Xenopus tropicalis: one gene and its partner. The protein of the gene in region 2 purifies or fractionates together with the protein of the main gene of each other region. This does not show direct contact. Links are inferred from orthologs where the notes say so. Each region holds a gene or a part of one and is shown on either strand. Other genes may lie near its edges.

Region 1 (15,550 bases), on a different chromosome or scaffold from region 2:
AATTAGAGAGGCTTCAGATGGGGTTTTTGCCTTCCTCTGGATCAACTAGAAGTTAGGCAGGTTATATATAGGCATTATGGTTGAACCTGATGGACGTATGTCTTTTTTCAACCCAACTTACTATGTTACTATGTAAAAGGAAAGGGGACAGCTGAGCAACTCACTGGGCAAGTTACTTGTCTCCCCTCTACTTTCCTTTGTCAGCTGCTGTGTGACCCTCCCTGGAGAAGAAGATTCCTTTACTATGGGCGTCAAAAGCTCCTGTGCCCTTAGGGCTCTGCTAGTCACAAGGAACTGTGTGTGTGTGTATGTATGTATGTATGTATGTATATATATATATATATATATATATATATATATATATATATATATGTATATATATAAAGCTCTATAAAGTATTGAAGCATGCTCTATTTGTGTATGCATTTTTGCCTTCACAACTCTGACATTTCCACTCCAAAAAAATGACACGAACAAAGCGTCTGTGGAACTGGGCAGCTCATACTTGTCTAATCTAAAGCACAGGGAGCGCTCCCAGCAGTGCATACGTCATACCGTATCCATGGTTACGAGACGCTGAAACCTACGGCGCACATGGAGTCCAGCACGTCAGGGAGCCACGTTTGTTACTGGCAAGCAGCTCCCTCTCATCTGAAGCTAAGCCGAAGCGGAGACTTGGTACCGGAAGCGGAAGCTGGCTGTCAAGCGTCGCGCCGGAAGCGCCTTTTTGGGCGAAGACACAGGAGAGGAAAATAGTAAGTTAAACATTGGTAGATAATAACTATAAGGAGCTCTGCTCGTTGTTGTGCTTTGGTTGCTGTTTTGGCTCGCATTTGGGTATCGTCGCTTGGGGGTACGGTCACTGCTCCCTCTTATGTTTATTAAATTGTAGAAAGCTCAGTTTGTCTGGAGGTTTGTGTTTATTTATGGTTAAGGGAGCTGCCATACTATTATTCTCCTTCATAGACTCCTGAGGCACAGTGGGCTCCAGTTGCTATATTGTTATGATGCATGTTGGAAGGAGCTAGTTACAGTCTTAACCTATCACCTTCCCTTTCACTGCCATTCCAGAGCCCAACTCTCAGTCAGGTATAGTCCTTTTATATGTACTATGTCTTTTACTGCCACGTTATAGACATTCAGAATACTGCACATACAATTTTGGAAAAGCAACTATACATATGAAAATATATCATCCTGATGACGATCCTATGAGGATCGAAACGCGTTGATGCGCAATGATCAAATAAACAAGATAAATTTTTTCTTTATATTTTGATGCCGTGAGTGCTTTCTACAAACTTGATATATATATATATATATATATATATATATATATATAAATTGCAGAGTGAAGAGCACGCCACCATTTAAGTGCGATACCTGGGTGCCAGAGCAGTAAATTTTGAATAAAAATAAAAAGTGTCGGCACTCACAGGGTTTCCACGAAAAGTCCTTATAGACAACATGTCATAGTTAGATGCAATAAGGTGAGGTTTATTACCGAAACGTTGGACCAATAAACCTCACCTTATTGCATCTAACTATGACGTGTTGTCTATAAGGACTTTTCGTGGAAACCCTGTGAGTGCCGACACTTTTTATTTTTATATGTGTATATATATATATATATATATTTCCCTGCTTTTGCGTGCTCTCGCTGCAAGGAAGTACATTGTGTTTTCCTTTCAGGCTGCAGTTATGGAGCCGGAGCTTTCAGACCGCTATGACCATGCTCTGCTGGGAATTTTGCAGCATGTAGGGAACATCCAGGACTTTTTAAATATCTATTTTGGCTTCTTGTATCGCAAGACGGACTTCTACAGGCTCCTCCTCAACCCTCAGGATCGCCTTGGATTCCCCCCAGGAGCTGCTCAGGCCATGGTAATGCAGGTAAGTATCTTGTAGTATTTACATTGCTGGGTTGGGGCCTTGTGGGCCTTGTGCTGGCAGTGAATCTCATATGCTCCCTCCCAGACTTTTAAAACCTTTGAGAGGCTGGCACTGAAGGACCATGAGCAGAGGGTGTGTGACCTGCAGGAGAAACTGAAAAAGAAGGAAGAGAAGGAGGCAGACACTGAGGCTGCACCACCCCCAGTCCAGGAAGTCATCATTGAGACTCCTGCAGAGGAGGCAACACTGGAACAAGACAAAGCAGAAGAAGAGCCACAACAAATAGATACAAAAGGAAGAGCAGAAGGACGAGAAACCAGTGAAGACTGCGCAGGACAAGCAGCTGCTGAGCCCAAGTAAAAATATTTCTTCCCTGGAAATGTTTGTTTGGTGGTGTCTTTATAAACAATGAAATGTCCAGCCCTCTGCAGACTAGATGCTGGATAACTAAACTCCCATCATCCCCAAAAGATGATTTTAGTTGTAGTCCTGAAACAGCTGGAAGCAAGGGTATTGCTATATTGCTGTTCTATTTTACTTGCTGTTTGCGTTCCTCCATTGTTTGTACTCTTTTTCAGTATCCCTGAATCTTATCCATTTTACTTGCTTTTCCATACATCTTTGATTCATTCTCATTTTTCCCTTTTCATAGTCATTCCTCTTCTTCTTTTTTTTTTATCATCTGGATCTGTCTGCACAGCATAGATGGTCTCCCTGAAGCCTACCAGAGATTGTTGAACTACTACATCCCTTTGATCATCATTAACTTCTGTAGGCTTGTATTTTGCCCGTTCCTACTCTCCATCGTTGCCCTCTTCTTCATTAAAGGAACAGTAACAGCAAAAAATTAAAGAGTTTTAAAGTAAATGAAATATAATGTACTGTTGCCCTGCACTGGTAAAAGTTGTGTGTTTGCTACAGTAACTCTACTATAGGCTATATATAATAAGCTGGTGTAGGCCCGGGGGCAGCCATTCAAGCTGGAAAAAAGGAGAAAGGGCACAGGTTACATAGCAGATAACGGATAAGCTCTGTAGAATACAATAGTGTTTTATCTGTTATCTGCCTGTGCCTTTTCTCTTTTGAACAGCTTCCCCCATGGCTACACAGCTGCATTCTTTATATAAACCATAGTAGTGTTTCAGAGGCAAACACACCAGTTGTACCATCGCAGGGCAGCAGTACATTATATTGGAATTTCTTTTATACACTTGAATTTTTTGGTGTTACTGTTCCTTTAATGTTTATAGCTTGAGAACTCCCTTATCCTCTTTGAGTTATTGCAATTTTTTTTCTATGTTAGATCATTTGGTTTTTGGAAATGATTAAACCCCAACTCTTATATATAAGTATATGTATATTTGCATCCATTCAGGGAACAAGAAGACTACCAAGCTGACCCTGACAGTTACAATGGAGCCATAAGAAAGAATTATGTTTGGTCTCAGGATTACACAGATGTGGAAATTAAAGTTCCAGTGCCTAAATCTGTAATAAAAGGTCGGCAGGTAAGCAACACCATATTTATTGAGTAACTTGTGATATACAGGCGGGCAGATGTAGTTTTATTACAGAAAACTGAGAAGAGACAAGTCCCAAAGACTTGTGTCCTAAAGGGGGCAGTGTAAGGCAATGTATGGTTATGATGCTAACTGGCAAGGTGTTTGCCTTATAGAGCCATTTTCCCAGCAGAGGGTGACAGAGATCAATACATTGAAGGATCTAGAAACTGCTTTGGGGAGGGAAGTAAATAGAGTGGTATGCCGCAGTGTGTAACTGTGTAATTCTGCATGTCTGGCATATAGTTTATCACAGTAAATATTAAAAACATATACCAGGTATGAAATCCATTATACAGAAAAATCTGAAAAACGATTACCAAAACCTTCCCAAACATCCTGCTGGATAATAGATTCCATACCTGTACAGTCTTTTATCAGACAGTAATGTGTTATATGATTATATCATTTTCCCATGTGAAAGACTGGAATCTGTCATTTGTAAACAATAAGACTAAACTGTGCAGCTGTAATGCCAATTTATTTCCCAGTATGGGTGGTAGTACAAGTGAGAGAAAGTATACAGATGCTGCTACAGCGTTAGGGTGAAGACACACCGAGCTACTAGTAGCAGCTACTTGTCACGGCTGCTAAAATAGACAGTGCTGATCATTTACTGGTAATTGTCTCTATGTGTGTTTTAGCAGAGGCACTTCTCAGTATTGTCTATGGCATGGTATTTTCTGGAGTTAAGTAGCCATGAAAAAGTAGCTGCTACTAGTAGGTCTGTGTGTTTTTATCCTTGTGTATTTCATGCTACTATTCTGGGCAGCCCCAGGTGGTGTGATAGAGAACTTCGCTGGGCAGGATCATATTGGGCCAGCAGGATACTGGGACAGAACCTTATGGGCCCCTTCGAGAGACCTCTGCTGCTGGGGTGTGGGGCTCTTAATGTAGCGGTGGCCCCCTGGTGGAACCCAGACACGCCACTCATGCCTGCCTCTGTCCTTAGGATCATATGTGACCTGTTCCCGATGCTAAAGCTAGGGACGACCTCCTGCCATCAAATGGATTAGTGGCAAAAAACAGGGCAAGCTCAATGCAAAGGCAATACTTCAGCAACTAATAAAAAAAAACTGTCTTAGGATATCACTGACTTCATTAAAGTCAAAATTATTTTTAAGATGAACTTTCCATTTAAATGGGAGAATATTTAAGAGGTTACAAAGGATATCGATACCCATGAAAACTATTTTAAAAATACATATTGATATTTTAAGAAAACTTTTAATAAAAAGAAAGGCATTTTAGTAAATAGAAAAATAGGAACTATCTCACGTATGAAGATACACCTATCTGCAATGTAGATGTGTTCACATCCGTCACAGTGTACTTACGTGTAACATAAATACCAACATACATAAATAACCTCACAATTTGTCATGAATGTCATGACAATAGTTGTGGTAGGGACAGAGAACCCTGGGGAGATATGTTTGTATGCATATTTATATTTATTTATATAGTGCTGCTTGTATAGCAGGGAAAATAAGTATTGAACATGTTTTTCTTAGTAAATATATTTCTAATGGGGCTATTGACATGAAATTTACACCAGATGTCTGTAACAACCAAAGTAATCCACATGTACAAAGAAATCAAAACAAATAAGTCCATACATTATGTGTAGTAAAGTGAAATGACACAGGGAATAAGTATTAAACACGCTGAACACTGAAATGTATTTAATACTTAGTAGAAAAGCCTTTGTTGGGAATGACGGATTAAGGCGCCTCCTGTAGGAGAAACTAGTGGCGTGTATTGTTCAGGTGGGACTTTGGCCCATTCTGCCACACAAACTGTGTTCAAATCTTGAAGGTTCCAGGGGCCTCTTCTATGAACTCTGATCTTCAGTTCCTTCCATAGATTTTCAGTTGGATTCAAGTTGGTTGATTGACTGGGTAATTCTAGCAGCTTTATTTTCTTTCTCTGAAACCAACTGAGAGTTTCCTTGGCTGTGTGTTTGGGATCATTGTCTTGCTGAAATGTCCAGCCTCGTTTCATCTTCATCATCCTGGTGGATGGCAGCAGATTCTATAATTATAGAATTATATGAAGTCTGCCAGTACCATATGCTAAAAAACATCCTTACACCATGATGCTCCCATTACAAATTTGTAATGAATGTATATTGGAACATTGCTTAGAATTATTATTATTATTATTGTTATTATTGTTATTATTAGGCAAACATTATTTTTGGGGGTTTTTTTCTGTGTTTGCATAATGAAAAAATTATAATGCCAAGCAACATCCAAACATAAATTTGTATTTTTAAAGTTACTTGTAACTATAATTGATATTAAGAACAGTGGGTTTTATCCCTTTCTATGGAGGTTCTGTTATCTTTGCATATTAATTTAAATGAATTGTAACACCAAAAATTGTGTTTAAAATGTAATGTACTTTTGCCCTGCACTGGTAAACCTAGTGTGTTGGCTTGAGAAACAATACTATAGTATATATAAATAAGCTGATGTGTAGCCATAGGGCCAGCCAAGCTGGAAAAAGGAGAAAAGGCACAGGTTACATAGCAGATAACAGATAAGCTCTGTAAAATATAATGGTGTTTTACAGAGCTTATCTGTTATCTGCTAAATGACCTGTGCCATTTAGCCCTATTTCAGTTTGAATGGCTATTCCTGTGGCTACACAGCAGCTATATTTACATAAACTATAGTAGGGTAGGGGCAAACACAGGGCAACAGTACATTATATTTGAATTACTTTGATACACTTTAATTTTTTTGCATTACTGTTTCTTTAAAACCACAGAACACTATTAATGGCTGTATATTGAAAAGAGAATATACAGCCGTGTTCATTTTCAATTTAATTATGGCCAGTTAACAGAGTTAAAACAAGTGACTGTGAGTGGGCAATACATTTGCTTTAGCATGGAACTTTGACCAAATAAAACCTGGGTTCACATTATTATCTCATATTACAGCCCCCAACAATGAGCTTATAAACTGTACATAGATAATAATAGGATGTCCTATCCAACCACAGATATCATGGGGATTAAGAAGGAGCTCTGCTTATGGAATCAGGTTGGGAACAAGCTGCATATTATTGTTTACTAACTCATTGCACAGTATCACTGTGCTTAGCTGCTGACTTGCATTGCACAAAATTACCTTTTCCAAAATGGCCCCCATTCGGTATCTTCTGTGATACCTGTGCTACTGTTGCTGTATTGAGTAAAGGACAGAGCACCTTTGATTCTAATGGGCGTATGACTCCCTTGTCTGCACCCTCTTCCTCAGGTGTCAGTGGACCTGCGCAGTAGCTGTATTCGTGTGGCGGTGAGAGAAGGAGGAGGGGAACGTGTTCTGGTGGAGGGAAGCTTTACTCACAAAATAAATGCAGAGACCTCTCTCTGGAGTCTGGAACCTGGAAAGTGTATTGTGGTAAGACTCTTTAATAAGATACTGAATCTGACTTGTGTGCAGCTTGTTAAGGCATATATAATCACTATGAATAATCAGGATCTTTTATTTCCTTTGAGACTGGTGTCAATCATGAGCTGAATTATTCACGTTCCCATGTGTTCTTCCATGCCACTCACTTGCCATTTTTTTAGGTCAGTTGTAGAGGTGGGTGCCTTGCTAGGTGACAGTAATTAATTTTGTTATACAGAATAAGCCCTCTGTTACTGCCATCAGCATGGTCCCACCATGCACCCTGCATATAGATCACATGGGCCATGTCTGAGAGACCCACAACCTGTGGTTTAATCTTCAGTTATTATCAGCTTATTGAGACTTAGCAGGACCATACTCCCAATAGAACTCCTAAATAATTTCTACACTTAGATCAATAGTCAGCTTGGCCATACTCCTTCCATTCATCTCACCACTTAATAAGAACAAGTTGCTGGCCAGCTCCTTGGTTACTACCCACTCCTCTAAACTTTGTGGTTATAGGTGGGTGTATAGCAGTTTTTAAAGAAAAATGAACTTATACATTATAAATACACTAAAGCGTTTGTTTTCTCTCTTATTGCATATTTAAAGTTTCCTATTCTTGGTACATCTGGCATTTGGGTGCTTTATGGTTCTGCCATTAAATTTTACTCTCCCTGCTAGTTTTCTTTTGGAAACATATTTGATCTCATGGATTTTGTTATTAATAATGATACAAGTTTGCATCTGTATTCCTTCCATACTGTATTAATAACTACTTCTCTGGTTTATGTAGTATTCAATTTGTATATATTCAACTTGTATCCTATTTCTGATTCACGGGTGTTTATTCAAGTTTATTTGCATTGACTCAAAGTTCCCCTAAACGCCTTATCCCTGTCTTGCTTTATGGCTAAGATATTAGATATTTTTAATTCTATGAGTGTCCATTGAGCTCCTAAGCTCTCTGAATAAACATTGTATAGCATTTCCGTGCTCCCCATATTTCATTTTCAGAAACTTCTCTTGCATCTTTCATCCTTCCAATGTAGTTTGTGTGTAGTCATATGGTAGATTCCACCAAATTTTCATTCACTCCCTTATCATGACACATCTTGATTTGCTGCAGTCCCCTGCTGTCTGGTTTTTCACTCTGCAGGCTGTCTGCTTTACTGTCTACAATAAATCCTGCTGCAAAGCTTATTCATCTTGCTAGTTGTTCCTCCTCCCCTGACAGTGCCTCAAGAGTCCTTCTAGAATTATATCTAAATAAACCCAATGCCTACCCAAATTCTTTACATTCCAGTAAATCACCACTTCATGAGTTTATGTTCATCCCATGATCTGCTTCTTTTACAACCTTTCTCCATTATGCCTTCAAGACTTCTTCAGGGGCTCTACGTCTCTCTTTTTCCCTTTGTGCATTGTAATACTTGCCTCCACATTTCACCCATTGCTTTCCTAAATGGGACTATAAAACGCAGGATGTTGGTATGCAGCTAACAGTTCTGCTTCAGGGTCCAAAATTGTCTCATCAGTCCTGCATTCTTCCCCTTTTTGTTCATTAATAATCCATATGCAAGTTTGCAACAAACCTATTATCATTATTCTTAATAAAGCGCCAACAAATTGAGCAGGGCTGTTACATCCTTCACATGAGTCCCTGCCCCAGTGGAACTTACAGTATTAGATCCCTATCATATTCACACACTATGGGCAGTTTTACCAGGAGCCATTAACCTGCCTGTTTGGAGTGTGGAGAAAACTACCCAGGGGAAACCCATACATACACGGGAAAATATACAAACACATAGGTGATGTTGCTCATGAACCTTAATTCTCTAGGCTGCCAATTAACAAAAGTGCTGCAACCCCTCCATGTATCATTCAGAACGTGATGAAACTTTGTTAGTACATTGTATTTAAAGTGTAGTGGGAACTCTCCACAGATCAGCTTGAGTAAGTGTGGCGAGGTTTGGTGGAATGCCGTATTGGAAGATGAAGAAAAGATTGACATAGACAAGATCAACAAAGAACGCAGCATGGCTACTGTGGATGATGAGGAACATGCTGTTTTGGACCGACTAACATTTGATTATCACCAGAAGTTGCAGGGGAAGCCTCAAAGCCATGAGTTGGTAAGCCCTAAAAACAAAAGTATCATGATCCACACATTTCCCTCCTTCTGTTCATACACTGATTCACATGTTACTGTACATTTCTAAAGTTCACTAGACTCCGTTTCCACACAGACAAACCTGATTCCTCAAACTGATAGGAAGTTAAATATATAGGTTGACCTAATCACAGCTATTTCTTTAACGTTTGGATGTGGCCACAAACAACTCATTTGGTTTCTGTGCTTTAGTGCATTGGAAATGATGGCCATAAGTCTCTCTTCCTAAGCACACAGTCACACATCAAACTGGGGCAGTGGTGGCCCACCAAGGCTGCAACTTGAAGGGCACCCCTTTGCAGTCATCAGGGCCTCCCTCCTGGCGTGCCCACCCCCAACCCTGGGGCCCACCGGGTTTTTCCTGGTGTCCCGCCGGCACACAGATTTTGCCTATACCTGTTGACATTGTATCTCCTCCTGTTTGTTTCTGACAGAAAGTGCATGAAATGCTAAAGAAAGGATGGGATGCAGAGGGATCACCATTCAAAGGTCAGAATTTTGATCCAAGCATGTTCAACGTCTCGCCAGGGGCTGTTCAGTTCTGAGCTCAATGGACACACACTGGAAATCCTCGGTGCCCTGGCTTCAGTTTGCTGATTCACAGCTGGGATACGATGCCTTTTATTAACCAAGTTTTATGTCTTTTGGTAAACATTTGACTTTGGTGCTTGCTGAGACTGGATGAATTTCTGTGTGAACTCGACATTTACACATTTGCAGTTACACATGCAAATGATTTGCTCTGTATGAGGAGGGATATGGTCAATCTGTATTAATCATAACAAACCATACCATGCATTGGCTCCAGGGGTTACATCCTCTTCTACTGGTAATGTCACTTAGCATGAAACTTGCTAAACTTTTATTCCCTTAGAGGAGACATATATCCATCTGTTTAATTTTTCTGTTTATTTCACAGTTTTTATACTGCTTATATCATGAATGTGTAACAGGAGCATCCTTTACTGTGCTCTCTGGGTGCTGGGCAGACAGAATAGCAAAAAAGCTTGTTTTTCTGAAGCGAGAAGTATTTCCTGATGCTTCTCTGCACAGTTCTGTAGCTTCTGTCACACTAAGTAATAGAACTGAGCAGAACAGTAGAGGGTGACCCCTTTACACATAATGATATTTGCAGTGTGCAAACTACTAACATAAAAAAGTTCATGTAAATGAAAAAAAAATGCTCAGAAGCAGAATTTGACATTGTTTTATGGATGGGTGTATGTCCCCTTTAATTGTAATATTTAGCAGGTAGATGGGGAGCGCACTGGATCAAAAATGATCTCATAAAGCAGTTTACAGATGTCCGTCCCACATGACATGAATAAAACAACATATTTATAAATCGTTTGAAGCTTTCTCTATGGGTAAGATTGTATCCATAAACATAGTATATGAACCATATTGTTTAAAATTGTGTTTACATGTATTTAAAGGGGAAAGCCACAGTTTTGTTTAGTTTGGGTCAATAAATAAGAATTGCGTTGGAAATGTATTCTGCCTATTGTTTTAATTAGAAAAAGAAAAAAAATGTTATTTGTTTTAAACAGCACAAATGGTGAACGGTTTCATTTTATAGATAATCCCACTTCTTGGTTCCTTAGTGCAAGTGTGGGCTGATTTACAAAAATAGCTGCTAAACTGCACCAACGTAAATACCCATGGCAACCCATAAGATTGTTGCTTTCCTTTTTTTTAACTTGTAGAAGACCTGTTCAAACTCATTTCTTATTGGTTGCTATTGGCAACTGTACTTGTGCAGCCCAGTACCTATGTTTGTTCATAAATGAGCCCTATTGGGTCACATTCTTGTATAGTGAATTTTTCCTCAGCTTCTTGTGACTCCCAGGATGCCTTTGGGCTAGCGTATTAGCATAATATACATTTCCAAGATGGCAGCCTGCTGCAGGTCTATGGTAGATGGATTTCAGCTCTGGATTATTTGTGCAAAGGACCTCCTAGCCTTCAAAATTTTAGTAAAATTGGAGGGGATGATGATAACACTCAGAAATGCAAGTTGGTAAAACTGGGGTATACTAGCGCCAAACTGCCATGCAATGCTGCCAGTTAGGAATGCCGCAGTACTGTGCCAAGTCCTGCAGGCCACTGGCATACAGCTTATGAGTGAGTGATTTTATTGGCCAATTCAGCTGCTGGTTAAGGCCAGGGGTGCATCTGTTTTTTTTTCTTTGCATGTAAACAGTGATAATAAATGAACCTTAAAACTGCCAGGAATATGTCTGTGAGTAGTGTAAAGTAATGGCTATGAATATATACAGCCCAGCACCCATACATAGAAATCTGTACTATCCTGTATTGTGCAGTGAGTAGCAAGGGCAAGCTGGTCATGTCTGAAGCACAAACTAACCGTGTCCTATAGCCTATAGCCATTTAACATGGGAGAATATGCTCCATAATAAATCACAGCATTCTAAGACCCTACAAAGCAGACTAAGGACAGGACACTATTCAGGCTGGCTATGCCTGTTTAGCAAAGGATAACATTGCTCATCCCACTTACACCTGAAAAAATGTTACTTGTTTAGTGTCAAATGGCTGGATACTGTATGAGGGAGCATGTACGACTGGTCACCTGTCTTTCCTTCCCTTTGTTTAGTTAAAGAATCCCCAATCTTTTTTACTTGTGAGCCACATTCAAATGTAAAAAGACTTGGGGAGCAACACAAGCATGAAAAATGTTCCTGGGGGTGCCAAATAAGGGTCGTTATTGGCTATTTGATAGCCCCTATATGCAACCAAAACCTGCCACCAAGCCAAGAATTCAAAAATAAGCACCTGCTTTGAGGCCACGGGGTGAAACATCCAAGGGGTTGGAGAGCAGCATGTTGCTCACTAGCCACTGCTTTGGGATCATTGGTTTAGTCCAGCGTTTTTCAACCAGTGTGCCGCGAGATGTTGCCTGGTGTGCCGTAGGCAGGGCACCAATGTACTAGGGGGGCACTGCTCTTGGCACCAATGTACTAGGGGGGCACTGCTCTTGGCACCAATGTACTAGGGGGGCACTGCTCTTGGCACCAATGTACTAGGGGGGCACTGCTCTTGGCACCAATGTACTAGGTGGGCACTGCTGCTGGGCACCAATGTACTAGGGGGGCACTGCTCTTGGCACCAATGTACTAAGGGGGCACTGCTGCTGGGCACCAATGTACTAGGGGGGCACTGCTGCTGGGCACCAATGTACTAGGGGGGCACTGCTGCTGGGCACCAATGTACTAGGGGGGCACTGCTGCTGGGCACCAATGTACTAGGGGGCACTGCTGCTGGGCACCAATGTACTAGGGGGGCACTGCTCTTGGCACCAATGTACTAGGGGGGCACTGCTGCTGGGCACAGAGTTAAATTTTTTAACATTTTCTAATGGTGGTGTGCCTCATGATTTTTTTCATGAAACAAGTGTGCCTTTGCCCAAAAAAGGTTGAAAAACACTGGTTTAGTCCAACGTGAAGAAGTTTTTCTTATCTGCCATAGCACCATCTTTGTTTCTGTTGGAAACATTGCCCAGCATACCCTTGCTGAAAATCACTTCATACAGTGTAACAGGCATGTGTATGGCCAGCTATATTGTTACTCATCCCCAAGAGTTCCTGCCAAGTGGTTCTTACAATCTAAGGGCTCTGGCACACAGGGAGATTAGTCGCCCGCGACAAATCTCCCCAAAATGCCATCCCACCGGCGAGAATGTAAATCGCCGGTGGGATGGTATACGCTAGTTGCCCTGAGAGGAAACCTCCGCGATTTTGCGGGCGACTAATCTCCCCGTGTGCCAGAGCCCTAAGGGGTGCAGGGTCTGGGGAATAACCTACTTTCAATACATTATAGGACATGTAAAGTCTACTTCACGGGGGGTGCCAAAATATTAGGCACCCCCTAGTGAAATATAGCGCAAATTTTTCCTCCAGGCTGGTGCTTCTTTTAGGAAAGAACCTAACATTTTGGCACCACCAGTGAAATAGTCTTTACAAGTCTGGTTTGGGACCAATTACAAATGTCAGCTGCTTTTTCTAAGGAAACTGAGAAGCAACAATGTTTGGTTGCAGAGGTTGCAGCTCCTGAAAAGAGATAAAATAGGGACCATTGATTGCTACGGCTGTGTACCCATTGGGACGGCAGAAAATGCTGAAAACAATGCATTCGTTGCTATATAATTGATCTCTGTACAGAAACCCACACACAGTAAAATCTAATAACAAAGAAAACCCCCCTCAGAGGGGCCCATACATAGACAGATAAGCTTGGTCTGAAGGGCCAAATCGGCAGCTTAAGGGCTCTAGCACACGGGGAGATTAGTTGCGACAAATCTCCCTGTTCGCGGGCGACTAATCTCCCCGAAATGCCATCCCACCGGCGAAAATGTAAATCGCGGAAGTTTACATTTTCGCCAGTGGGATGGCATTTCGGGGAGATTAGTCTCAGGCTAATCTCCCCGTGTGCCAGAGCCCTAAAAGGTGGTTCACCAACGAGTTACATTTTAGTTATAGAATAGGCTATCCTTAACAACTTTTCAATTGGCCATTATTTTTTATTTTTCATTGTTTTTGAATTATTTTCCTTTCTCTTCTGACTCTTCTTCAGCTTTCAAATGGGGGGTCAAAAAGTATTACTCTGTGAAGCTACAATTGTATTGTTATTTTTATTACTTATATTTCTATTCAGGTCTTCCTCCCTTCATTTTCCAGTCTCTCATTCAAACCACTGCCTGGTTCCTAAGTTAAATTGGACCCTAGCAACCAGAGAGCTTCCAAAATTCCAGACGGGAGAGCTGCTGAACAAAAAGCTAAATAATTGAAAAACCACAAATAATAAAAAAGGCCAATTGCAAAGTGTTGCTGAATAGCACTCTCTACATCATACTAAGTTCATTTAAAGGTGAACAATTCCTTTCATTCTGCCCGTATATGGCCACTTTTAGAGCAGATGTGACCACCATGGTGCCCAGCACTGAACCGACTGCTCCCGATCTGTTTCCTGCCATAGGCAGCATATTCCCTATTGATCTGAATAGAACAATAAGGCATAAAGAGTGTTATGACAGCTGCAGTTTTTCCCTATTGCAGGACATAAATCGCCAGATGTCCTTGGTCCTTTGCTGTTTAACTTGTTTATTAATGACCTGGAGGTGGGCATAGACAGTACTGTTTCTAGTTTTGCTGACAACACTAAATTGTGCAAAACTATACGTTCCATGCAGGATGCTGCCACTTTGCAAAGGGATTTGACAAAACTGGGCAGCAAAATGGAAAATGAGGTTCAATGTTGACAAGCACAAAGTTATGCACTTTGGTAGAAATAATAAAAAGTATACCATAAAAAAAAACAAAAACATGACAGTATCCCATTAAGAGGAGTTCGGGAACAAGCATAGTATCCAAAGCTATTGTGATACTAAAATCTACAGTTAGTATTGATGTTGGTATATATGGTTTATGTATGTGAGTGGATAGGTCAGTGTGGGTCTGTATGTGAGTGGATAGATAGGTCAGTATGGGTCTGTATGTGAGTATATAGATAGGTCAGTATGGGTCTGTATGTGAGTGGATAGATAGGTCAGTGTGGGTCTGTATGTGAGTGGATAGATAGGTCAGTGTGGGTCTGTATGTGAGTGGATAGATAGGTCAGTATGGGTCTGTATGTGAGTGGATAGATAGGTCAGTATGGGTCTGTATGTGAGTGGATAGATAGGTCAGTATGGGTCTGTATGTGAGTGGATAGATAGGTCAGTATGGGTCTGTATGTGAGTGGATAGATAGGTCAGTATGGGTCTGTGTGTGAGTGGATAGATAGGTCAGTATGGGTCTGTATGTGAATGTATAGATAGGTCAGTGTGGGTCTGTATGTGAATGTATAGATAGGTCAGTATGGGTCTGTATGTGAGTGTATAGATAGGTCAGTATGGGTCTGTATGTGAGTATATAGATAGGTCAGTATGGGTCTGTATGTGAGTGGATAGATAGGTCAGTATGGGTCTGTATGTGAGTATATAGATAGGTCAGTATGGGTCTGTATGTGAGTGGATAGATAGGTCAGTATGGGTCTGTATGTGAGTGGATAGATAGGTCAGTATGGGTCTGTATGTGAGTGGATAGATAGGTCAGTATGGGTTTGTGTGTGAGTGGATAGATAGGTCAGTGTGGGTCTGTATGTGAGCGGATAGATAGGTCAGTGTGGGTCTGTATGTGAGTGGATAGATAGGTCAGTATGGGTCTGTATGTGAGTGGATAGATAGGTCAGTATGGGTCTGTATGTGAGTGGATAGATAGGTCAGTATGGGTCTGTATGTGAGTGGATAGATAGGTCAGTATGGGTCTGTATGTGAGTGGATAGATAGGTCAGTATGGGTCTGTATGTGAGTGGATAGATAGGTCAGTATGGGTCTGTATGTGAGTGGATAGATAGGTCAGTATGGGTCTGTATGTGAGTGGATAGATAGGTCAGTATGGGTCTGTATGTGAGTGGATAGATAGGTCAGTGTGAGTCTGTATGTGAGTGGATAGATA
Region 2 (15,550 bases):
GGAGTTTAAAGTTCAATGTACAATAAAAACCAACACATTTATATGTTAAAGATAAAATGCAATATAGTATACGCCTTGTAATAAATGCTGGCCTGACAAAAAAAAAAACAAGTTATTTGCCATTATAATGAGTCAGTTCATATATATGAAAAAGGACCTATTGCATTCATGCATATGAAGTTTGTATTATCAGGAGCCAGGTAACCTGACTGTATGTTTTTGGAGTGTGGAAGTTAACCCATGCAAGAATAAGGAAACCTCATACAGGACAGGCCAAGTAGGCCTTGTATTGCTTTTTACTGTGTTCCAGCAGTCGGATATATTCCTGGCTACTAAAACATTTATGAACCCTGTACAAACACAAAGAAAAAAATTACCGTTTAAAGTCATCATGATAGAATTCAGATTTGCAAGCCACCATGTCACTGTTCTGATTATCATTGTCCCGACTCCTAACCCCACCAAAGACGTACAGCTCCATGCCAACACCACACGCAACAGCTCCAAACCTACGAAGCAGAAAGGTTATAGGAATATGACACTGCCAACAAATACAAACCATTGCTCATTAATGGCAGATTATCTTTAAATAACAAAAATACTCACCTCCTTTCTTTCAAGGGGCATATTGCAGTCCACTGCTGAGTTTTGGGGTCATAGCATTCAACAGATTCAAACAGTTTTCCATAGGAGCCACCTCCCATTGCATAGATTTTCTTTTTCATTGCTGCATAGCAGCCGATCTGTAATTAATCCATTAAGCCCAGGAAAGTCAACAAGAGTGCTAGCTACAAATAAAATATGGATTTGTTTGAGCTACAATAAAGGTGGAGAAAGGGGGCAAGAGCTAATCACTTTTGAAGTTACAAAATGACTAAAGTCAAGACATATTATCTAATACCATGCATAATTTCCAGGGGCCTTAAAATCAGTTCATGCCACACAGAGTGCAGACTTTAGATACCTGTTCTGGCAGAAATTGGGACAAAGCAGTCTGGGAAAGTCAAACAATTAATAAAAATAACAAATGATGAAACATCTGTTTTTGTCATGTGGATCTATTTTATAATTATTTTTTTTTCTAGAACACTTCTAATAACAATGTTGTGTGGCCAAGAGAATTAATTAAAAAAAAAAAAACCCTCCCATGAACAAGCAGAAAGACAGGTTCCTTAGTGTTTACAATTCCCCACAAAATATTAACAAAAAATATTTTAGTTAATTTATAAGGCTAATGGCACACTGCCAATGGAAACACAGATCTGACCCCCTTCTGCCCATATGTGTGCCATTGAAGGGGAATCTGCCTGTCACTACACATGAGCCAGATTTTGCTATATATAGGTATAGGGATGAGTAGATTACTCTCCTATAAATGCAAACACATGCAGGGTGGAAGAGGAGGCCAATTATGAGTTTTTACCAATAATGCAAATCAGGCCATTCCTCACTTATGCAACTTGTGTCACTGGACTGAAAAATATTATTAAATAAAAAAAAACCTAGGAGCAAATTTCATAAAATTCGTATCTTTAATTTTCACGTTTGTTTCTACCACAATTAAACTTACTTTTTGAAAGCATTTATTAAAAAAACAAATATAAAAAGCACAAATGAAACTAATTGGGTAAGAGTTTTTCTTGGTTGTACACTGAATAAAGTCCAAAAATTCATGGTTTTTACACTTAATAAATTCCAAAACTACACGGTTTAATCAATTAATATTGTGCGTTGGCCCATAAGTTTATAACTGACGGCAGCACAGATTATGTACAGTAAATCAGCAGAAAAAAGATGAGGAGCTTCTGGGTGGAACTTAGAGGCAACATTTTTCACTGCTAAAGGGCTGTGGTTGGCTTGGGCTGGGACAGAAGCCCAAAACATTATGTACATCATTGCTAGCATAATTCTTTAGTTAATATTGTAATTACTTTAAAGGAGAACTAGAGTTTATGTACTGTTGCTCTACACTAGTAAAAGCTGTGTGCTTGCTTTAGAAAGACTACTATAGTTTATTTAAATAAGCGGCTGTGTGTCAAAGGGTAGCGGGCATATGGTAGTGGCTTCATTTCGCAGGAGAATTTGGGCCACTTCAGAAAACAAAGTGCTGCATGTGCTTTCCCACCAGCAATTCCCTATACTGCTGGTGGAAAGCATTTCAGGGAGATTTGTCTACCGCAGTAGACGAGATTTAATTTTACTGTTATTTGAATGTGAACCACGCACTTAGGTGCATAAATAAGCCCTCTAAGCGTATGGAAGGTAGTGCATGCATAATCATTTAGCTAAGCTTTTCATATTTAACAATAAACAATATCAGGGGCCTTACCTTCCTAACCATAGTCATGTTTTGCTGTTTGCTCCATGTTTTTGTGCATGTGTCATATGATTCCATAGAGAGTAGTTCGGAGTCCCCATTTTCTCCTCCAAGTACGTAGATCACTCCATCTATCTCCACCATGCCGAAACTATGCCTAGCCTAAAGCACACAATAACCTACATTCAATATTTATATACTTGATGCTGCAGCATGTGTCCCTGTATTGTAAAATTACTTAGGGCATGTTGGATAAAACACTGGAAAAGGTCAGCTAGCTATAGCCTAAAGAATTTCCATGTACTAGACCAAACTATTTTATGGCACTGACAAAGGAAAAAAAATATTAAGGCAAGTAAGTGTGTCTTTTGGTAGTGTTGAAATATACAGTGAGGAACATAAGTATTTGAACAGCCTGCGATTTTGCAAGTTCTCCCACATAGAAATCATGGAGGGGTCTGAAATTCACATTGTAGGTGCATTCCCACTGTGAGAGACAGCATTTAAAAAAAAAAATTCAGGAAATCACATTGTATGATTTTTAAAGAATGTATTTGTATTTTTATTTTTTTTTAATCTTTATTTATAACTTTTTGATATGGGGAGGGGGATACAGAAGGAAAAAAGGAGGGGGGAAAGGTGTTCAGTTTTTAGTATCATAGAAATAGCATTTCACAGTAAATCACATCATAATCAATATTATAATGCATACTTTTTTGGGTAGAGCTATATGGTTTCCGTATCTAGAAAGAAGAATGTATTTGCATTACACTGCTGCACATAAGTATTTGAACACCTGAAAAAATCAGTGTTAATATTTGGTACAGAAGCCTTTGTTTGCAATTACAGAGGTCAAACGTTTCCTGTAGTTCTTGACCAGGTTTGCACACACTGCAACAGGGATTTTGGCCCACTCCTCCACACAGATCTCCTCTAGATCTGTCAGGTTTCGGGGCTGTCGCTGAGGAACACAGAGTTTCAGCTCCCTCCAATGATTTTCTATTGGATTTAGGTCTGGAGACTGGCTCGGCCACTCCAGAACCTTGATATGCCTCTTACAGAGCCACCCCTTTGTTATTCTGGCTGTGTGCTTCGGGTCATTGTCATGTTGGAAGACCCAGCCACGACCCATCTTCAATACTCTGACTGAGGGAAGGAGGTTGTTGCTCAGAATCTCACAATACATGGCCCCATTCATCCTCTCCTTAATACAGTGCAGTTGTCCTGTCCCCTTCGCAAAGCATGATGTTACCACCCCCATGCTTCACAGTAGGGATAGTGTTCTTGGGATGCAACTCATCCTTATTTTTCCTCCAAACACGGTGAGTTTCAAGTTTAGACCAAAACGTTCTGCTTTGGTCTCATCTGACCACATGACTTTCTCCCATGCCTCCTCTGGATCATCTAGATGGTCATTGGCAAACTTCAGACCATCTGGTCTGGTGATGACTTGAGCAGGGGAACCTTCCGTGCAATGTATGATTTAAAACTATGACAGCGTAGTGTTCTACTGAGCTTTGAAACTGTCATTGACCTGCTCCTCCCTTGTAGTTCTGGGCTGATTCCTCACCTTTCTTATCATCAGTGATAACCCACGAGGTGAGATCTTGCATGGAGCCCCAGTCCTAGGGAGACTGACAGTCGTCTTTAGCCTCATCCATTTTCTAATTTCTCCAACGGTTGATCTATTTTCACCAAGCTGCTTGGCAATTGCCCCGTAGCCCTTTCCAGCCTTGTGGAGGTCCACAATTTTGTCTCTGGTGTCTTTTGACAGCTCTTTGGTCTTGCCCATGGTAGTAGTTGGAGTCTGACTGACTGTGGTGTGGACAGTCTTTAAAGAGCTCAGACAGGTGCTACTAATTTAGATTAATGAGTGGAGCAGAGATGGACTTTTTAAAGGCAGAGTAACAGGTCTTTGAGAGACAGAATTCTTGCCGATTGCCAGGTGTTCAAATGCTTATGTGCAGCAGTGCAATACCCCTCCATGTTTTCTAAGTGGGAGAACTTGCAAAATCGCTGGGTGTTCAAATACTTATGTTCCTCACTGTATATCATTGCTTCCTTGTTTTTGGCTTGCCTCGAGCCAGAACAGCTGAGAATCCGAAAAACATGCTTGTTTCTGTAAGAATAATTAGCCAGCATCTCCACTGTTAGCCACAGGTCTGTACTGGAAGTTGACTAGATTGACTGCATTGCTTGATCAGTCACAGAGGGCATACTGACAGCTGACTGCAGGGACACTGATCCCTGATAAAAGCTTTTTGGGGTATACTAAGCAAGTTTCTGAATTAACCTAAATGACATAAAATAAATGAAAAGTTTGAATACTCTAAAACAATGCCGCAGTATTTCTCTGTAGGACACTGAAAAATGTTTTCAGTCCAACCCACAGCAAAAGTCTCTGATCTGAAGAAGTTACAATAGGCTTGTGGTGCTGGTTGGTCTGCTTCATTTATTATGCTTGGGAAGCAGATGAAAAACCAGACTGAGCAGCCAGTGTCAGGGTGTACACACCCTATTCTGCCTGCCTTAGTCACAGCTCTATAAAAGAAGCCCAAGGCAAGGGAAGGTATCCCAGCACAAATGGTGTCCTATTCTTTCTTGTGATCTAGGGAAGAGAATTGAAACAGATACACACATTTGCCTGCAACAATTTCAATTTAGAAAAGACAAATGCAAGGCTAAACCTTGTTTGTACGATATTCGCTGCGTGTATGGCGGCTCGACGAGGCGACCGATATCACAAAAAGCTGCGGTTATCAGTCGACTCGTCGATCAGCCAGGTTAAAAGATTTTGATGGCGCCCAAGCAAAATCTACGGTCAGGGCTGAATCAGCAGAAGGAGGTAGAATTCCTATTGTTTCTACCCCCATATCTGACGATTCAGCCCTAAACGTCTGTGGAGGATGGGAACGATCTTTCGTGTAACCAGTGGTCAAGATCATAAATCGCTGCGTGTATGGCCGACCTTAAGGGCTTGAGAGGATTTGAAGTGTTTTGTGACTCCAGTACTTTGTGTGGGACAAAATAGTTGATATTACCCCCATCACATTTACTTTGAATGGAAATTGCCTGGTGCAGTTTATTCAGTTGATTATAGCTTCTTAAATAATAAGTCATAATTGCTTTCATAACACTGCACCAGGTTCATTCAAGTGATTTCCAAATAAGTGGATAAGGGGCAATTAAAAGTATTTTGTCCCCCACCCACGGAGCTACAAAGCCCTGCAAACTTCCTACAAAGCATTCCTAACTATCGTGTCCCATTTCCCAAAGTAGCAACTTTTAACGAAAAGAATATCTTATCATAAATCATTCCTAAATATCATTGGTTTCCATTATTTTCCAAAATATATAGTACTGTTAGAAAACTTATTTAATGAAAAAGATAACAGTAAATACATTTAAAGCACTGCAACAAATATCAATTAGAGCTGTTAAATGTAAGGTTTAAGAGAATAAAAAATGCATTGTTATGGATATGCTGGCAGCAAGTTAGAATCATTTTCATGATTCATCTCAGCATTCAGTGCTGATGCAAAGGAAGGCCATAGTGCCAAAGCAGTAGCATTATAAAAGTATAAGGTATGTAGTAATGTAATGTAATGTAATGTAGCAGTCCTCCTTGGCTGGCTTCTGCTGAATAAAATGTATAAACAAATACTGCTTTCAACTGCAATTACAATTAACTTTATAACCACTGACAATTTGATATTAATTTAGGCTGGAAAGTTTCTTTATTAATGCAAAGACAATCCAAGGTGTCACAAACAATGTCAAACACACAGGCAAGTACTGTTTATGGCAACTTGCTGCTTATTTAGAAAAGGAATGTCTACTTTTGGACCTACAGCTGATTCTGCCAAATAGCCCAAGATGTAGCAGGAGAGAATCTGTGAGGCTACCCATCATACAGAAGATAACAATGCCTTGCCATTACCTCAAGCATTGGAGGTAGTGGACTCCAAGCATTGTCATCAGGATCATACTGTTCTCCAGTGTCCAGGGTTTCGTTGTCTTCATTTTGACCTCCAAGTACAAACAAAAATCCCTCTGCAAAATGAAGAAAAATATGTGGGATGTGAATTACTATGCAGTTCCAAATACAGAAGTATTAAAGGACATCTAAAGCCTATTTCACTAGCAGTGCCAAAAAAAAGGCACCCCCTGTAAAACAGAACTCCCAGTAAACAATGCACAGCAAAAAAGATGGCCCTGCTCCCCATAACAATCTTAAAAATGTGGAATCACAAGAAAACAACTTTGCTTGTTCCTGGTAGTTTATTATTTCCTACCCCAAAATGTTTTATCCTGCTTTCCTCTTCTTCGCACTTTCATGTTTCTTAAAACATCTCCAGCCACTTCCTCCATCAAGTCAGAAAGGTATAGAAATCACTGCCTCTCTACTCTCCTCTCCTTCCCTCTCAGCACATGAAGTCTTTAAAGTGCTTTGCTCCATAACTCCAGTTAACTCTTTCTCCTCACATAAAACAAGAATATACAAATCCCACTCTCACCTTGCATTCCTCTCTCTCCTGTTACTTGCTGCCGGTGACATTTCCCCCAACCCTGGCCCTTACCCTATCCCTGTTTTGTTAGGGCCACGTTCCCCAAACCCACCTTGTACCCCTTTAAAGTACAGAAACCTTACCCCTATACCCAAAGCCTCTGTTCAAATTTCCTGTGCCCTCTGGAATTCCCGCTCCGTCTGCAACAAAATCACCTCCATCCATGACCTTTTCATCACTAAATCGCTTAACTCAGTGCTGTCCAACTTCTGCGGTGCCGAGGGCCAGAATTTCTCTAGCATACATGGTGGAAGGCCGCTAATAGAAGCCAGTTTTGACCACTCCCCTTTAAACCACGCCTACTTCAAACCACACCCATTTTATCACAATGGTGGTAGTGCAGCAAAAACCCAAATGGTCCTCACTGCAGGGATATCAACCATCATTCATTTGTGAAAGAATTTTATTATGTCATATTAAGACATACCCTTAAATCAATATGCCTCCTCCTCCCCTGTGTATAGCACAGTAACCCCCAGCACATAATTACACACCTTAGGGACCATTTATTGGCTATGTCCAACTGCTAATAAACTATGGCACACACACAGGCAGTACTCTGCCTGCCCTATGCTGCCTGTGTGTGCCATACTCTGCCTGCCCTACCCTGCCAGTGTGTGCCATACTCTGCCTACTCTACCTGTGTGTGCCAGACAGCATAGGCCAGGCAGTACATACAATGTCTGAGGTGTGAACAGGTGAGGTGTGCCTGAGGTGTGAACACTGCAAGGGGATGAACAATTCAGGGATTAAAAGGTGTGAACAACACAGGGGATTACATTTTTAAACAATACAGGGGGTTTACAGCCTAAATCTGAGGGGAGAACAATGCAGGGGGGTAAATAATCTCAGTACTGATACCATTTAAAGCTTACACAAAGGTAAGCCATCAAAGCAGCCAAACAGGTGGGGGGCCACACAGAGGGGGGTCGCAGGCCACCAGTTGGACAGCACTGGCTTAACTTATTTGAAATACCTGAGACCTAGCTTTCCTCTACTGACACTGCCTCACCTGCTGCTCTGTCCTTTGGGGGCTACACCTTACGCACACTCCCAGACCTGGAAACAGGGTAGGGGGTGGGGTAGGACTCCTTCTCTCCCCCCACTATTCATTTAAAGTCCTTCCACTTCCTCCTTCTCTTTCATTTTCCTCATTTGTGGTTCACTCTATTAGGCTCTTCTCCCCTGGTTCGCTTCGCATTGCGGTCATATGCCACCTCCTGGACCAACCTCGCAATTCTTTGACAACTTTTCTGCCTGGCTTTCTTACTTCCTTTCCTCTGATTCCCCATCCATTGTACTAGGTGACTTCACTCTCTCACCATATCTCGCCTGGACTACTGTAACTCCCTATTAATTGGTCTCCCCCTCCAAAGACTGTCCCCTCTCCAGTCCATAAGGAATACTGCTGCCAGGCTCATACACCTCTCCAACCGCTCCTCCTCTGCCATGCCACTCTGCCAATCTCTGCACTGGGTTCCCCTACCATCCAGGATAAAATTCAAACTAATGACTCTCACATTCAAAGCAGTTCATAACTCTACCCCACCCTACATCTCTGAACTCATCTCTAGGTACCATCCAACCCGCTTGTTACACTCCTCTACTGACCTGCTCCTCAACTCCTCTCTCATTCTCTCCTCACATGCTCACATTCAAGACTTTGCAAGGGCTGCCCCCCTTCTCTGGAATTCACTCCCACAAACTGTCAGACTTTCCCCCAATCACTCTGCCTTCAAGAGATCTCTAAAAACGCATTTATTTAGAGAAGCTTACCCTAATCTAGTTTAACATAACCTCAGCGTGCTGCTAAAAGCAATACCCTGTGCCACACCTGTCACAACTCTGGTCATGCCCATTCCCACACCTTGTGTCTCAACCCTTTCTCCTTGTAGATTGTAAGCTCTTTTGGTCAGGGCTCTCTGCACCTCTTGTATCGGTTATTGTTTGCTTTATATGTTACTCTGTATGTCCAATGTATGAAACCCACTTATTGTACATCGCTGTGGAATATGTTGGCGCTTTATAAATAAATGTTAATAATAATAATAAAATGTAGCCTTGTGCACCAAAGTTGGTGGCCACCATAATAGGCCACCAAAAAGCAGTTAATTGTCATCAGAATTTAAATGACAAGTAACAATTTTTGCTGCACTTGGGGAGGGGAGGGCCAGTTCAGAGAACCCCTAATTAACAACTTGTACTTAATGATAATTAAGCTAGCATAAATCCATACAAAATGACAAACCATTCTGGGTTTCAATATTAAAATGTATTTTAAAAAAAGCCTTAAGGCAAGTCCTAAGTATCCAGATAATAGCTCTTAGAGTTATATTTAGATATTTCATCTTTAATATGAATGGGTGCTCCTCCTGAAGAGTCCAGGAGATGCCATCTCAGATTTCTAGTTACAATATAGTAGATTCACTTACAGGATGCTCTAGAAGTAAATGATAGTAATTTGTTAGCATGAGAGCAGCATGGAGTTACCGTATATACTCGAGTATAAGCCGATCCGAATATAAGCCAAGGTACCTAATTTTACCTAAGAAAACTGGAAAAACGTATTGACCCGAGTATAAGCCTAGGGTGGGAAATGCAACTGCTACTGCTAAGTTTCAATAATCAAATAACAGATAAATAAATAATAGATAACTTTAGAGAAAGAAAAATGCTACAGCAGCAGACAAAAGCAAGTTTGGGAAGGCTAAGGAAGCTGCCATACTAATTATCAAGTACAGGTATAGGACCCATTATCCAGAATGTACGGGACCAAGGGTATTCCGGATAAGGGGTCTTTCCATAATTTGGATCTCCATACCATAAGTCTGCTAAAAATCAACAAAATATTAATTAACCCCAAAATAATTGTTTTGCATCCAATAAGGATTATTTATATCTTAGTTGGGATCAATTACATGGTACTGTTTTATTACTACAGAGAAAAAGAAAATCAATTTTAAAATTCTGAATTATTTGATTTAAATGGAGTCTATGGGAGACGGGCTTTCCGTAATTCGGAGCTTTCTGGATAACGGGTTTCCGGATAAGGGATCCGATACCTGTACTTGCCATCCTGCTGTGTGCTTTGTGCTCGTCCCATTGGTTCTGTGCACTGTGTGCTCTCCCATCATTAGTGAATCGCCTTTACCAAAAATAATTACATTACAAGTATTTACAATTAAATTTTTAATATCCTAAGTAGGCACAGTGCACCATTGGAGGTTTTTTATTTCTAAAGATCTGCCCTTAAGGAATGATGGTAGCAGTTTGCATACTCATAAAATAAAACAATGCTTGCAACGTTACATTAGCATGTCCAGAGGATAACAGATTAGAAAGCAACCAGTTTACCTTCGTTACATATCTATCTAGAGTTGTTCCCATTTCCCCAACTATTGCAGCGACTTCATCTCGAACTTCCTGGTTTGCCAGAATCAATATGCCCAAAACAATACATCTTTAGTCTGGTAGTTCATAATGATTTGGCCAAGGATGATTTACCATTTCATTATTGTCCATGCTATTCCTAAAAGTTTTTTTTTATACTTTTTTAGTGGTCTTTTTATGTGCCCTTTTTAGTGAATGTGCGCCCCATGTGCCCTTTTTAGTGAATGTGTGCCCCATGTGCCTTTGTCAGTGAATGTGTGCCATTGTGGGGCACTGCGGCTTGATGCACTTCCCATCGCTTCGGAACTTAGCGGCATTAAAAGAGCGCGTAGGTCCCTTAATGGTACAGTGCGCATGCGTGCATCATACGCGACGCTCGCTGTTAAAGTGGAGCGGTCACCCAGACATAAAAAGCTGTATAATAAAAGCCCTTTTCAAATTAAACATGTAACCCAAAGTCATTTTTTTATTAACACATCTATATACATTACATAAGCATTTAAAAGTCCCAGCTGTCAATCATATATTGCCTGACCCGCCTCTATGCCTTAGGCATAGGGGTGGGGCAGAGAGTTACTTTCACTTTCAACTCAGAACTCCTTAGATGTCACTGCACTTCTCACATTCCCTCTCCCTCTTCACCATCGAATTGTGTAACCAGTGCATGGACATGGGTATCAGGTCCCCCCATACTGGCACAGAAACAAGATTTTGGCAGGGTGCACAGCTTGTCTTAATAACAGTGTCCACAAAATGGAGCCTGCCTGTTATCTGCAATTGTGAATTTCAAGGCTGAATGAAATAAGTTTTCACGTCTCCACTCCACCAACGTAAGGTGGCAAAACAAGGGCTATGCACCTGTACTGTTGCAAACACTAACAAATGTATTTAAAACTGAATGATTACAAAATACATACAATAACCCTTTCAGTTGCTTTAAATGAGTTTAGTTTGCTGCACATTTTTTAAGATCACAGCATACCTGCAGAAAGAACCCCATGGTTTATCCTTGGTGTGCTTAGTGGTGCTAGTTCAATCCATAGCTGCCGATTTGGATCATAAAGAGGGCACATACAGCGCACTGAAGCCAGTGGTTTACGGGATCTGGAAATAAAATAAATAAAATCAATCAACTTGCTAATTATTTATACAAACAAATACTAAACACAGAGCCTGAAAGAAACTTTCCCAACCATTATCCCCCCTGTACCATCACCTGGAGGCTCAACCGTCAACCACAATCAAGATTCCTTGAAACTATGCATTAAATCAAAAGTGCAATATTATTTTACACTTCATGTCAGTGTAGTTGCTGGTAAATTTGTAATTGCTGTTCCTTTCCTCTGCTCTCTGAAGTAATTTGTTGTTAAATTCTGTTTTTAAACCTTCCAATCCCTCAAGTAGAAGATTATTCTCTAGAAAAACACCTACATAGGCCAAACCTAAGAAAGGCCATATCATGGTACTATACCCTGTTATGGCAATCGACCCCAGACCCATTAGCTAAGGCCAAAGAGAAACGACAAAGAGATGTGCCGGACCTTGACAAGATTATGTGGGATGACGCACTAGAAAAATTCCCAGAAATAACAATGGCACTCAGAGACAGATTAATTCAAACTAAGTTTATTAATTGTGCCTGTTTAACCTCCAACAGATTGGCAAAGTTGTATCCTCAAGCTTCTGACACATGTCCCAAATGTAATTCTGCTGTGGGCACCTTCCTGTATTTTTTTGTGAATGTCCGGTCATTCAACAGTTACGGTCCGCAGTTTTACAACATGCAAATGAAACATTGTACCTTCAAAATATTCTCTCTCCAAAGGTATGCTTGTTGGGGGTGCTGGAAGACCTGGGGCTATCATCATATCAACGTTTGTGTTATTTGCAACTCCTATTCTATGTCAAAAAAGCTATTCTGATAAAATGGAAGTCTACTGCAGCTCCTACTCTCACTTTCTGGAAGAAACTTATTAACGATCTGCTACCCAAGCAAAAATTGGTTATATATATATATCTAGAGGATCTCCAACTAAGTTTAACGCAGCATGGGATCTATGGTTAAATGCACAATCCTAAAATTCACACCAAGCTTGCCTTAGCCACCTATGTTTTCTTTCCTTTCTCTTTTCTTTTGTATTGTTGTAAAAATGTTCAATTTCTAAATAAAAACTTTCCTCAGCTGCCACATGCATTTCTCCTGACATTGCTCCGGACCTGGTGGTGACATATGTGTCACAGGTTACGCACCAGGTCAACTGTGGATTGTTGGGCTGCTGGTAGCTGTTACCTCCTCATCCTTTGACTGGATTGCATTGTCTCTCCCCTGGGAGGGCAGAGCCCCAGTGCAGAAGAGAAAAAATTAATTGGTGGGGCATGTAAAAACTTTTTCACGCAATTTTGCCACAGATGGAGCCGCCTGTGAAGTACAAACTCCAGAAAGAGCAAGTATCCCCATTCCCCGTATTTGCAGATGCCCATGACATCAGCAGCCCACCTCCAGGATAACACCAATTGGCACCTCACCCCTGCAGGCCAGCAAAGAACAATACATAAGGTGGTGATCCTAGGCACAGGGCATTCCTTTTCTGAACACAGGTATTGCTGGATGGTGTTTTCTGGATAAGATATCATCCTGTAATTTGGATCTCCATACTTTAAGTCGACAAAAAACATTTTGTTTTGTTTTATTTAAACATTAAATAAACTCAATGCCTTCAGTTATATTTAATTAATTATATTCTAGTTAGGATCAAGTACAAGGTACTCATTTATAATTACAGAGAAAAAAAAAATAATTTTAAAATTTTGAATTATTTGATTATAATGAAGTCTATAGGAGATATGGGTTTTTTGGATAATGGAGCCTATACCTGTTGTTATATTTACACAGAGTGCACACTTTGCAGTTTGATAGCGCTCAATGTGTACCATAACACACTAATGTGTACAGTCAGGTACCAATGAACTTGGTGAACAGATCAGTACACATGAACCAGATAGTGTTGTCATAGTGCTTTACTCAGCTCGAGGACTCTCCTCATATTTTGCACTAGTCATAATGCAAATCTATAGCTACAGAACCATACACAGGAACAAAAGTATCAATGCTTAATAAAATTACTATGCAAAATGTTAAACTGTGACCATTTTTTAAAAATAATTTATCTGCTCAAGGTACTCACGTTCGCTCTTCACCACCAACTGTAACTATGCACTCTGAGTAGCCCCTCGGTTTAAAGGAAGCCAACACTGCCTCTCCATGCTGAGGCTGGCTAAGCGGGATGTTGCTGCACTCTCTGACCATCTCTCGGACCAAGGGCTCAATAAGCATTTTCTCTCGCAGATAGCTGGAGTCCAGGCCAGAGACCCATAAAGCAGAGCTTACATCTTTCATGTGAACCTATGTGAACAACAGAAATGGTTTTACATTTTTTTTTTATATAACTGGACCGGCCATGCAACCTCTGCCAAGCAGCATTAAATAAATTAATCTCGAACAGCTACAAATATTTACTTTAGCGGGTGAATATTACAAATAATGACAGATTTTTTAGATAATGTCACTCTGTTATAAGAGGAAGCAACTTTTCAGATGCAATTACAGGTATAGGACCCGTTAACCAGAATGCTCAGGGACCAAGGGTATTCCGGATAAGGGGTCTTTCCGTAATTTGGATCTCCATACCTTGTCTACTATAAAATCAATAAAACATTAATTAAACCCAATAGGATTGTTTTGCATCCAATCAGGATTATTTATATCTTAGTTGGGATCAATTACAAGGTACTGTTTTATTACTACAGAGAAAAGGGAAATGGGCTTTCCGTAATTCCTGGCTCCCCTGAATCCTGGGGCCAGACTGGCTACATTTGCCTGTGAATGTTACAATGAACATGATTTATCAGACCCTCCCCTTCCCCACAAATACTTCCTAAAGACCCATCTATAGAAGCATATTCAATACGCCTCAACTGTTCAGAAGTCAACTTATCATAGAATCAGCAGTTCTTAGGTTACTGCATAAGTGTATGTCATTTTCCTTATTCTTTTAATGTCAATGTGACACAGAACCAAATCAGTCTTGAATAAATTAATTTGCTAAGTGTAATAACTCTTTGGGGCATTTGAATATAATTATTGCAAATGCAGTCATCTGATTAAAGCAAATTAGTAATTATATGTAATTCAAGGGTACAAAGCTGAACCTGTGTTAGCAAAAGAATGTCAGAACCTTAAAATGCACTTAAAGGAAACCTATACATTCAGAAGGAATACTTATCCAACAAAAAAGTTCATTAACAGGTCACTTATTATGATATAAATGAATATACTGACATTTACATATAAGTAAATATGGTCCTTTTTCATCTTTTACCTTGAGCCACCATTTTGTGATTGTATCTGAATCGGGGGTGGCCCTTATTACTTAAAATGGTAAACTTCTATTTAGTATTACCCAATAGCAAATACTATTAAAAATATATATTTTGTTGTGAAAACAGTATATTTAGATGAAGCAGTATTTTACATATGGGCTGTTTTATGAGTTCTTAGGGATAATGTTTTCCTTTAACTTTCTTGACAACTGTTGTGATAGCTCTAAGCATGCAGCAAGGTGTAGGCACCTCCTCCTTAGGGTACCCTTTAAGTTTCAACAGCTGGTATCAGGTGACCCAATTTTCAAAATTTGGAATGGTTATATGAAATAGTACTCCCTTTACTGCACGATAATGCACTACAACCCTATTTCCAAAATAGTTGGGACACTGTGTAAAATATAAATAAACACAGAATGGGATGATTTGCAAATCCTTTAAACACTATATTTAACTGAAACTAGTAAAAAGACTCTTTAACAACACTCTTTAACTGTTTGAGAACTATTTAAACATTCGGAAAGGATTTTTTACAGTGAGAGCTGTGAAGTTCTGGAATTCCCTCCCCGAATCAGTCGTGCTGGCTGATACATTATATAACTTTAAGAAGGGGCTGGATGGATTCTTAGCAAGTGAGGGAATACAGGGGTTATGGGAGATAGCTCTTAGTACTAGTTGATCCAGGGACTGGTCCGATTGCCATCTTGGAGTCAGGAAGGAATTTTTTCCCCTCTGCGGCAAATTAGAGAGGCTTCAGATGGGGTTTTTTTGCCTTCCTCTGGATCAACTAGTAGTTAGGCAGGTTATATATAGGCATTACGGTTGAACTTGATGGACGTATGTCTTTTTTCAACCCAACTTACTATGTTACTAACTAAAGAGACCAATTGCTGTA

What was found.
Region 1: the proteins of gan (region 2) and nudcd3 purify together in Homo sapiens (co-immunoprecipitation; 3 studies listed by BioGRID and IntAct, counting the BioPlex papers as one, with this or other methods). This does not show direct contact. The link is inferred for Xenopus tropicalis from reciprocal best matches to the Homo sapiens genes GAN and NUDCD3.

The regions. Positions count from the first base shown.
Region 1 is NC_030679.2:126,194,579-126,210,128, reverse strand, and holds nudcd3 (nudC domain-containing protein 3), read left to right. Parts: upstream 1-747; 5' UTR 748-755; intron 756-773; exon of another isoform or gene 774-1,011; coding exon of another isoform or gene 1,012-1,089; intron 1,090-1,692; coding exon of another isoform or gene 1,693-1,701; coding exon 1,702-1,893; intron 1,894-1,977; coding exon 1,978-2,249; intron 2,250-3,268; coding exon 3,269-3,401; intron 3,402-6,721; coding exon 6,722-6,865; intron 6,866-8,808; coding exon 8,809-8,997; intron 8,998-9,469; coding exon 9,470-9,580; 3' UTR 9,581-10,530; downstream 10,531-15,550.
Region 2 is NC_030680.2:52,566,466-52,582,015, forward strand, and holds part of gan (gigaxonin), read right to left. Parts: intron 13,679-15,550; coding exon 13,461-13,678; intron 11,380-13,460; coding exon 11,258-11,379; intron 6,371-11,257; coding exon 6,258-6,370; intron 2,480-6,257; coding exon 2,330-2,479; intron 744-2,329; coding exon 607-743; intron 510-606; coding exon 378-509; intron 1-377. UniProt on the Homo sapiens protein: Probable cytoskeletal component that directly or indirectly plays an important role in neurofilament architecture.